Linked DNA regions of Coturnix japonica. Each later gene encodes a partner of the first gene's protein in a complex. Links are inferred from orthologs where the notes say so. Each region holds a gene or a part of one and is shown on either strand. Other genes may lie near its edges.

Evidence for each region. Proteins that work in one complex are often made in the same cells at the same time.
Region 2: the proteins of TAF8 (region 1) and TAF10 are in contact, whole or in part, in a crystal structure (PDB 4WV4), measured with the Homo sapiens proteins. The link is inferred for Coturnix japonica from reciprocal best matches to the Homo sapiens genes TAF8 and TAF10. Residues at the interface, in NP_612639.2 of Homo sapiens: Arg33, Thr36, Leu37, Val40, Ser43, Leu44, Leu45, Ala48, Gly49, Phe50, Glu51, Ser52, Ala53, Glu54, Ala56, Ser57, Thr60, Leu61, Met64, Leu65, Gln66, Tyr68, Ile69, Ser70, Ile72, Gly73, Arg74, Ala76, Lys77, Cys80; in NP_006275.1 of Homo sapiens: Pro115, Leu116, Phe119, Leu120, Leu123, Tyr126, Thr127, Thr129, Ile130, Pro131, Val134, Thr135, Tyr137, Tyr138, Leu139, Ala142, Gly143, Phe144, Glu145, Ser147, Asp148, Arg150, Ile151, Leu154, Ile155, Leu157, Ala158, Ala159, Gln160, Lys161.

What each region holds. Positions count from the first base shown.
Region 1 is NC_029541.1:4,766,642-4,770,885, forward strand, and holds the start of TAF8 (transcription initiation factor TFIID subunit 8), read left to right. Parts: upstream 1-1,436; 5' UTR 1,437-1,460; coding exon 1,461-1,724; intron 1,725-2,678; coding exon 2,679-2,835; intron 2,836-3,138; coding exon 3,139-3,237; intron 3,238-3,456; coding exon 3,457-3,519; intron 3,520-3,869; coding exon 3,870-3,994; intron 3,995-4,244. UniProt on the Homo sapiens protein: The TFIID basal transcription factor complex plays a major role in the initiation of RNA polymerase II (Pol II)-dependent transcription.
Region 2 is NC_029516.1:173,986,050-173,990,131, reverse strand, and holds TAF10 (transcription initiation factor TFIID subunit 10), read right to left. Parts: upstream 2,807-4,082; 5' UTR 2,764-2,806; coding exon 2,568-2,763; intron 2,330-2,567; coding exon 2,181-2,329; intron 2,089-2,180; coding exon 2,024-2,088; intron 1,936-2,023; coding exon 1,821-1,935; intron 502-1,820; coding exon 412-501; 3' UTR 334-411; downstream 1-333. Other genes in the region: TPP1 (tripeptidyl-peptidase 1), read right to left, coding at 2,940-3,080, 3,199-3,336, 3,579-3,737, 3,827-3,947, 4,044-4,082. UniProt on the Homo sapiens protein: The TFIID basal transcription factor complex plays a major role in the initiation of RNA polymerase II (Pol II)-dependent transcription.

The DNA of each region.
Region 1 (4,244 bases):
CAGCAACATCGATTCCCACTCCACATGGGCTCCAAAATAAGGATGTCACCCTCCACCTATGGACACGAACAGCCAGCATGGTTCTGCTCGCTTCCAGATTCCTTCCCTTCCACATCAGATCCCTGGCAACATCTTTCAGCACAGCCCTGAAGCTCTCCTTGTTTCACTTCACCCCTTTCCTCTTGGCTGGCCAGTCTCCTCCGGTGGCTGCGAGCAGCTGCTGCTTCACAGACACACAAGAAACCCCGACATCACTGAGCAGCCAGACCTTTATGGAAGCATTTCCCACTCCCACCCTGCCAGGCAAACGGAAGCCATGCATAACAGAATGATGTACCTGTGCCATAAAACAGGATGCAGCACCTGTGATTTTAGGGACTTCTGCACATATTTAGCTGAGGAAAATTCCACCAGGCTCTGGATTTTCAGTTTGTAACTGAGTTTAGAAGGGACTGCAGTGCTCTGGTTAGAACCCAAGGGCTCCAGCTGACACCACCACCAATGTTATGTTATGTACTGTAACATCAGCGGGTGCACTTTATCAGTTCTGAGAGCAGCTCACAAGGCATGGCAGTACTTATTGATGGGAAAAAACGTGCAGAGGAGCAAAGAGATTGTGTCTGGTTATTCAGCAGGCTGGATGCAGCCAGGACTGGAATCCAAAATAACACAGTGCTCTGCACCAATAACTAGAGCACCCAGCAGCCCTCACTGCAGGGCTTCCCCTGCTACCCCCTCCTCAGAGACACCCTGTGTACAAAGAAACAGCTTTGTTCTGAAGTGTATGATACTGTGGGATGGGGGAAAAGTATTCCCAAGAGTAAAACAAACAAACAAAAAACCCACAAAGCCAACGAAAACCAACCGGGCAGCACAGGGCTGGGATCTCATTTATCCAACAGCTCCCACGTGTGAATAAACCAAGTAATGCAGCCACCCAACATGAAGCCTGAGCCTGTTCTCAGCAGCTTCACTCGGCTGCTTTGAGCTCCCAGCTGCCACATCCCTCCATATAACGCACATCACTCCGCCCCACAATCAACCAGCAGGTCACAGCTCCACCACACACAGCGCTTCCATTCCCAGCTCCTTGTGCTCCCTCACACTCCGTTAATCACTGCCACCAATTCCAGCAGCCAGCACAGCACACACAGCCCCGAACACAGCGAGGGACCGACCCCGCCGGGCACAGCAGAGCTGGGTGCTGACACCGCCACAACAACGGCACCTTCACACACCGGCAGCTCAGGCCCAGGCCGTACTATGGCAGCAGCTCCCCGCTCCATCCACCCATTATGTGCCTCGTACCTTCACCATCCACCAGCTCCGCTGCCCGGTCCCGTCCCGCTCCTGGCTGTTGTTTACTCTCCACACGGCTCCGGCATCGCGGGGCGGGGCTGCAGGTTCTCGCAGCTCTCGGGGCATCGTGCAGCGCTGCCGGGCCGGGCCGCTGCCCCGCCATGGAGCCGCCGTTACCGGAGCTCATCGTCCCATCGTTGTTGTCCCATCGCCGTCCCATCGTTGTTGTCCCATTATCGTTGTCCCATCACCATCCCGTCGTTGTCCCGTCCCGGTCGCACCGCGGGGCTGTGGGGGATGTTGGAGCCGCCTACAGCCCCCACAGTGCAACGCGCGCCTCGCCGCACGGCCCCACCGCCCCGCACATGCGCACAGCGCTCTATGGCTCCAAGATGGCCGACACGGCGCCCGGCGGTTCCGGCACGGTAACGGCGGCTCCTCGTCGGGCCGCGGGGTCGTTGTGGGAACGGCCCCTCCGGGCGGAGCGGCGCGGCCTGCACCGGGAGCGGGACACTAACGGCTGCGGGCTGAGCGCGGCGGCTTTAAGGGGGAGCTGAACGGAGGGAGGCGCTGATTGGCTGCATGGCTGCGTGGGGGCGGGGCTTGGCGGCAAGCTGTGATTGGTCCGAGCTCTGATGCAGCGTTTAAAGGGACAGAGCGACTATGGGGGAACGTGTGTAAATATGGGGATATGAGTATGGACAGGCACTGCTTGTAGGGCGCTCCTAAGGTAAAGCCTCCTATTTATTCGCATGGAAGCTGCAGCAGGTACAGCACAATCATACTGTGTGATCAGGTGTTTGCACATCTGGAAAGCACTGCTGTTTAACACGGTCACCACCATTGCCCATATTGGCACTGGAGAAGAGCTGCATGCTGCACTCATACTGCTGGAGTGACCCACTGTTATCACTGGAACACGCCGCACTGTGCTCACAGCGGCTGCTCTGTCTCCAGAAGCATCTGCCCTCATCCAGGAACACAGTGATTCTGTGCTTCATTCACACTCCTTCATTACACACCGTTATGTCCAGCTGCTGCCACCTGTCACACAGCAATGTAATGTACACAATGTAATGTACACAATGTAATGTACACAATGTAATGTACACAATGCTGGCAGGAAGGTTCAGCCTTTACCCCGCCTCCAACATCTAACCCTGATGTCGACATCATGAAATAGGAGGCATTACTTTCAGAGCAGTCCTCATGTGTGTATGTCTGTACATGTGTGTCTGTGTAGGTGGGTCTGTACTGTGTGTAGGTAGGTGCTGTGTATGTACACCCGTGATGTGTGCAGGGACAATGTGTGAGCACAGAGCGAGTGCTGGCAGCTCGTCTGGGGCTCAGGTTCAGTGTTTTGGGGTCTGTGTCCACAGCGGTCGGGCAGCAAGCACACGACCACGCCAGCAGATAACTACTACCTGGCCCGAAGGAGGACACTGCAGGTGGTGGTCAGCTCCTTGCTCACTGAAGCCGGCTTTGAGAGCGCTGAGAAGGCTGCGGTGGAAACACTGACAGAGATGTTACAGAGCTGTGAGTGTCGGGTGCCACCAGATTTAGGGCAAAATCACCTTGAAATCGGTTCACATTTGCTTTCGCTCTTTCTGTTTTTCGTTTGTTTGTTTGGTTTTGTTTTAACTCTTTAACTCCCGGTGCTTTCCATGATGTTATGATGTGCAATAACAATAACAAAAATCATAAAACCATGACACTAGATTTGATCAAAAGTCAGGTGTTGTGCTGACACAAATGTGTGTTTGCTGCCTGAAATGAACATGGAATGTGAATAAAATAAAATGAACATGTAATGGTTGTTGGTGGTTTTTTCCCCTCCAGATATTTCTGAAATTGGAAGGAGTGCAAAGTCCTACTGTGAGCATACAGCCCGAACACAGCCCACGCTGTCTGACATAGTTGTTACTTTAGTGGAGATGGGTGAGTAGCTGACTCATCTCACTCATTCCACATACATACAGTGGGTGTTCTGTGTTGCCATGACAGTCTGTTCCTGGTGTAGTTGTGTGATGTCGGCTGTTCTGGGTTGCACACAGAGGCTCCAGTATCACTGCTGTTGATGTAGTGTGTATGCACACAGAGTACATTATTTTCTTTCTTCTTGGTGTGATTCCATTTTTCTCTTCTTCTGTATTTCAGGGTTCAATGTTGAAACACTTCCTGCATATGCAAAGCGCTCCCAGAGGATGGTGATCACTGCCCGTATGTGAGAAGTCCTTTTCTTGTGCAGGAAACCATTTGTCTTTTCTATCTGCTGGCATCCAGAGAGCTGCTGCTTTTCTCATGGATGGTGTAGTCCATTGCTCCGGGGCACTCAGTTTGTGTTAAAGATTCCTGTAATTATGATGTAGTAGGTGAAGGAGAGTGTCTGTCCTTTGCCAAACCTGTTGCTTTTGCTTCAGTATCCTCATTGCACATGAGAATCCTCAAGGTGGTTCTCCTTGTGTAGGAGGGGTCATGTAAGCCTTGTTCCCTTTTGGGATGCCAAATACAACCTGAAACTGTTGCTTGTGTCATATGCTCATGTAGTGCATGTGCTTTTTTAACCATAGCTCCTGTGACAAATCAGCCCGTGACTCCCAAAGCCCTGACAGCTGGACAGAACAAGCCACATCCATCCCACATCCCTGGCTATTTCCCTGAGTTTCCAGATCCTCACACCTACATCAAGACACCAGTGAGTGAAAAAAGACTTTTGTGCCATTTGGTTTCTGTCTGAAGTCAGTAATGTTAGGAAAGGTGCATGTGCATTCTTATTGTAGTGCTGTTCCTGAACATTGTTTCTGCTACCTTGGCACAATGCTTGTCATTTGCATATTGTACTTGCTCTAGTTTTATAGCTGATATCTGTAGCTGTTTGAAAACGTGCACATGTTGAAGGTCAGTGCTTGCCTGCATCCTATTAGTGTTTTGAACTTGATCTGTCT
Region 2 (4,082 bases), on another chromosome or scaffold:
CTGGGCGCTGGAGCTGCTCTGTGCCAAACCCAGAGCGAGGCAGAGGAGCCTGGCTGCAGCTGCAGCAGCCGTCACAGCCCCAGAACCTTCCTCTTACGAGACATGCTACAGGGAAAGAAAGCACAGAGGAAGCTGGGCGCTTCTGTTTGCACGATGCCCACAGCCCTGCAGCAGCTCAGGGCAGGCTGAGCCCTCCAGGAGATGCAGCTGCAGTTCCCTGCTGTGCAGCCCTCAGCCATCACCTTCTGTTGGTGCTGGCAGAGCAGAACTCCGTGGGCCAAATGCTGCTGCTGCACTGACAGCAGGAGGGCGGCAGGAAACGGGGGGTCTTTCCACCAGAAAAAAAACTACCCATTGGTTTAATGGAGCAGAAGCAAACCCTAGAAAAGTCCCCAGCAACGAGCCCTGCTTTCACGTGAAGTAGTGCGGCTTCTTCACATTGATGCCGTATTCCGCCAGGGCGGGCGTCAGGTCCTCCATGGTCAGAGTGTATTTCTTGTCCTGGGGACAAAGGGCAGCATCACTCACAGCACAGACACAGCACAGATAGATACATCACTCATAGCACACAGACACAGCACAGATACATCACTTGTAGCACAAACACAGCACAGACACAGCACTCATAGCACACAAACACAGCACAGACACCTCGTGCCTTCAGCCCTTGGTTGGGGTTTTGACCCTCATTGGAGCAGTCCATGTGTGTGTGATGCCCAGTGGCTGGGCATTAACCAGCACCAAGTGCCTGAAAGCTGCATCTGCTCTTTGCCCTCCACAGCAGAGAAACGCACTGAGCATTACTCAGCGCATCTATTGCACTGCCCCTAAGCCACAATTGGGGCTGTGTGGATTCCAGAAGCTATTTCTACACGCTTCCTCCCTTTATCTTTTTCCCTCAGCGTTAGTTTGGTGCCATCAGGGCTGGGTGGCCCTGCAGTATCTCCATACACAGCACTGCCCACCTCCTGCCCACCACGCTCCCTCCCATTTAGTCAGCACACATCAGCCTCCCATGAGGTTCAATAAGGACAAGTGCAGGGTGATGCATTGGGTTGGGGCAACACCAGGTGTGTGTACAGACTGGGGGAAAGTCTCCTTGAGAGCAGCCCTGCAGAGGACTTGGGGGGTGAGAAGCTGGATATGAGGCAGCAGTGTGTGCCTGCAGCCTGGAAGGCAACTGTGTGCTGGGCTGCATTTAAAGGGGCGGCCAGCAGGGACAGGGAGGGGATTGTCCTCTTCTACTCAGCTCTTGTGAGCTCATATCTCAGTGCTGAGTCCAGGCCTGGGGCCTCCAGCACAGGAAGGACATGGAGCTCTTGGAGGGTCCAGAGGAGGCCACTGAGATGAGCAGAGGGGCTGGAGCAGCTCTGATATGAGGAAAGGATGAGGGAACTGGGCTGGTTTGGGTTGGAGAAGAGAAGGCTGCGGGGAGACCTCATTGTGGGCATCCAGTACTTGAAGGGAGCGAATAAACAGGAGGGGGAACGGCTGTTTGTGAGGGTGGGCAGTGATAGGACAAGGGGGAATGGTTTGAAAGTGAGACAGGGGAGGTTTAGGTTGGATCTGAGGAGGAAGTTTTTCCCCCAGAGGGTGGTGACGCACTGGCACAGGTTGCCCAAGGAGGCTGTGGATGCCCCATCCCTGCAGGCATTCAAGGCCAGGCTGGATGTGGCTCTGGGCAGCCTGGGCTGCTGGTTGGTGACCCTGCACACAGCAGGGGGTTGGGATGGATGAGCACTGTGGTTCTGTGCAACCCAGGCCACGCTGTGACTCTGTGACCCAGGTCAATGCCTGGCAGTGCCCCCCATCACACCCACCTTGCTCTTGTTGCGGGAGCTCCCCGAGGCCGTTCCCTTCATCTTGCAGTGCTGCAGCGCGTCGTTGGCGATGTCAGAGATGAATTTCTGTGCGGCCAACGAGATCAGCCGGATGCTGCGGGCACAACAACGGGCGGGTGGGCGGGGATACGGCACCGGGGGTCGTTCCGCACCCCCCCCCCCCGGCCGCCCTTTACACTCACATGCGCGGGTCGGAGGCCTCGAATCCCGCTCTGTTCAGGTAATACCCGGTGACGGCGTCCGGGATCTGCAGGGAGAGCCGCGCTCAGCGCCCGGTGCTCAGCACTCGGTGCCCGGTGCCGGTGCCCGCCCTCAGCGCCCGCCCCGCGCCGCTCGTACCGTGGGCGTGTAATCCTCCAGCTGCAGCAGGAAATCCACGAGCGGCGTCCCCGACACCACCGGCTTCACCTCCCCGTTGGCGGCGCCGGGCGGCACGTAAACGCCGTTGGACATCGCTCCTTCGGGCGGCGCCGCGGCCGACACGGGAGCTACGGGAGGAGGCGCTCAGCGGGACTCACGGCACCGCACGGTACCGCACAGCACGGCACGGCCCGGCACCGCACGGTATGGCACTGCAAAGCACGGCACAGCACAGGCAGGCCCGGTACAGCACGGCCCGGTCCGGTCCCTCACGGCCTGGCACATCACGGCCCGGCACCGCACGGCCCGGTCCAGCCCGGCCTGGTCCATCACGGCCCGGTCCCGCTCTCCCCTCCCCGCACTCACCGGGTCCCCTCCCCGCCGCCGCTCCCCCGTCCGCTCCCCTGGCCGCTCCTCCTGCCGCACTGGGTGGCGCCCCGGGGACGCCGCTGCCGCCCGCGGCCGGGCTGTGCTTGTTGTCCCCGGTGGTCCCGGTGGTCCCGGGCGCTGCGGGCGCTGCGGGCACCGCGGTGCCGGGGTCGCTCTCGTTGCTGCAGCTCATGTCGCCCCCCCCGACGGCTCCGGCCGCTCCGCAACGCGCCTGCGCGCGACGCGACGCCCCCTCGGCCCCGCCCCCTCCCGCTGCCCATTGGCCGCCCCGCTCCCGTCCCCGCTCCCCATTGGCCGCCCGTCCCGTCGGTCCCGCACACACGGTTCGTATCGCGGCCTTTATTGGCGTCACGGCGCCGTGAGCGCGCGCAGCAGCTGCGGGAAGTTGGGCGTCCCCCACCCGGTCACCGCGTCCCAACCGGGAACGGCGCAAAAACCGCGGCCCTGAACCGCAGCGTCCAGACACGACACGTGGCAGCCGACGGTCACCTGGGGACGGGGCGGGGTCAGCAAAACCCGACCGGACCGGACGGGACCGAACAGCCCGGCTGGGACCGGACCCGCCCCGCACCCCCCGGGACCCCCCCCCGCCCCCCGCCCCGCTCACGTCGAACAGCGCCGCGCCGTGTCCGCGCTCCCGCAGCCGGTACAACGCGGGGTTGATGAAGCCGAGCGGCGGCTGCCCGCCCTGCAGGCGGCGGTCATTGATCAGCGCCAGCAGCCCCGCCACCACCGGCGTCGAGGCCTGGAACGAACGGGGCAACGGGGGACACGGCTCAGCGCCGGGCGGAGCGCACCGACACGACGGCACCGGAACGGGACCCGACGGCACCGAACCGGGACCCGACGGCACCGGAACGGGACCCGACGGCACCGAACCGCGACCCGACGGCACCGAACCGGGACCCGACGGCACTGAATCGCGACCCGACGGCACCGAACCGGGACCCGACGGCCCCGAGCCGCGCCCCGCCGCCCCGCGCTCACCGACGTGCCCGACACCCAGGGCAGCGGCAGCCGGTTGGTCACCACCCAGTAATTGTCCGACAGCGCGGCCAGGTCGGGGTAAGCGCGGCCGCTGCTGTTGTAGTAGGAGCCGGGCGGCAGCTTCGGGGCGGAGCGCAGGAAACTCCGCACCGCATCGGCCTGGGGGAGGCAGCTCCATCAGCTCCATCAGCCCGATCAGCGCCGGCACCGGGGAGCCCCCCCCGCGGCCCCTCCGCCCCCGGCCGCACCTGGTAGTCGGGCATGGGGAAGACGTTGCTGAAGCCGCCGCCGCTGATGTAATCCGTCACCTCCTCCGTCACCAGGAACGGGTTCTTGAAGGACGTGCCGCCCACCGTGGTCACGTAGGGGCTGAGGACGGGCAGGTGCTGCGGACCCCCCCAAACCCGACCCCCCCCCGGGGCTCACACCGCCCCGCAGCCACGAGGAGCCCGGGGCCGCCGTTACCTCGAGGCCGGGAAGCTGGGCCGGAACGTGTGGTTCCCC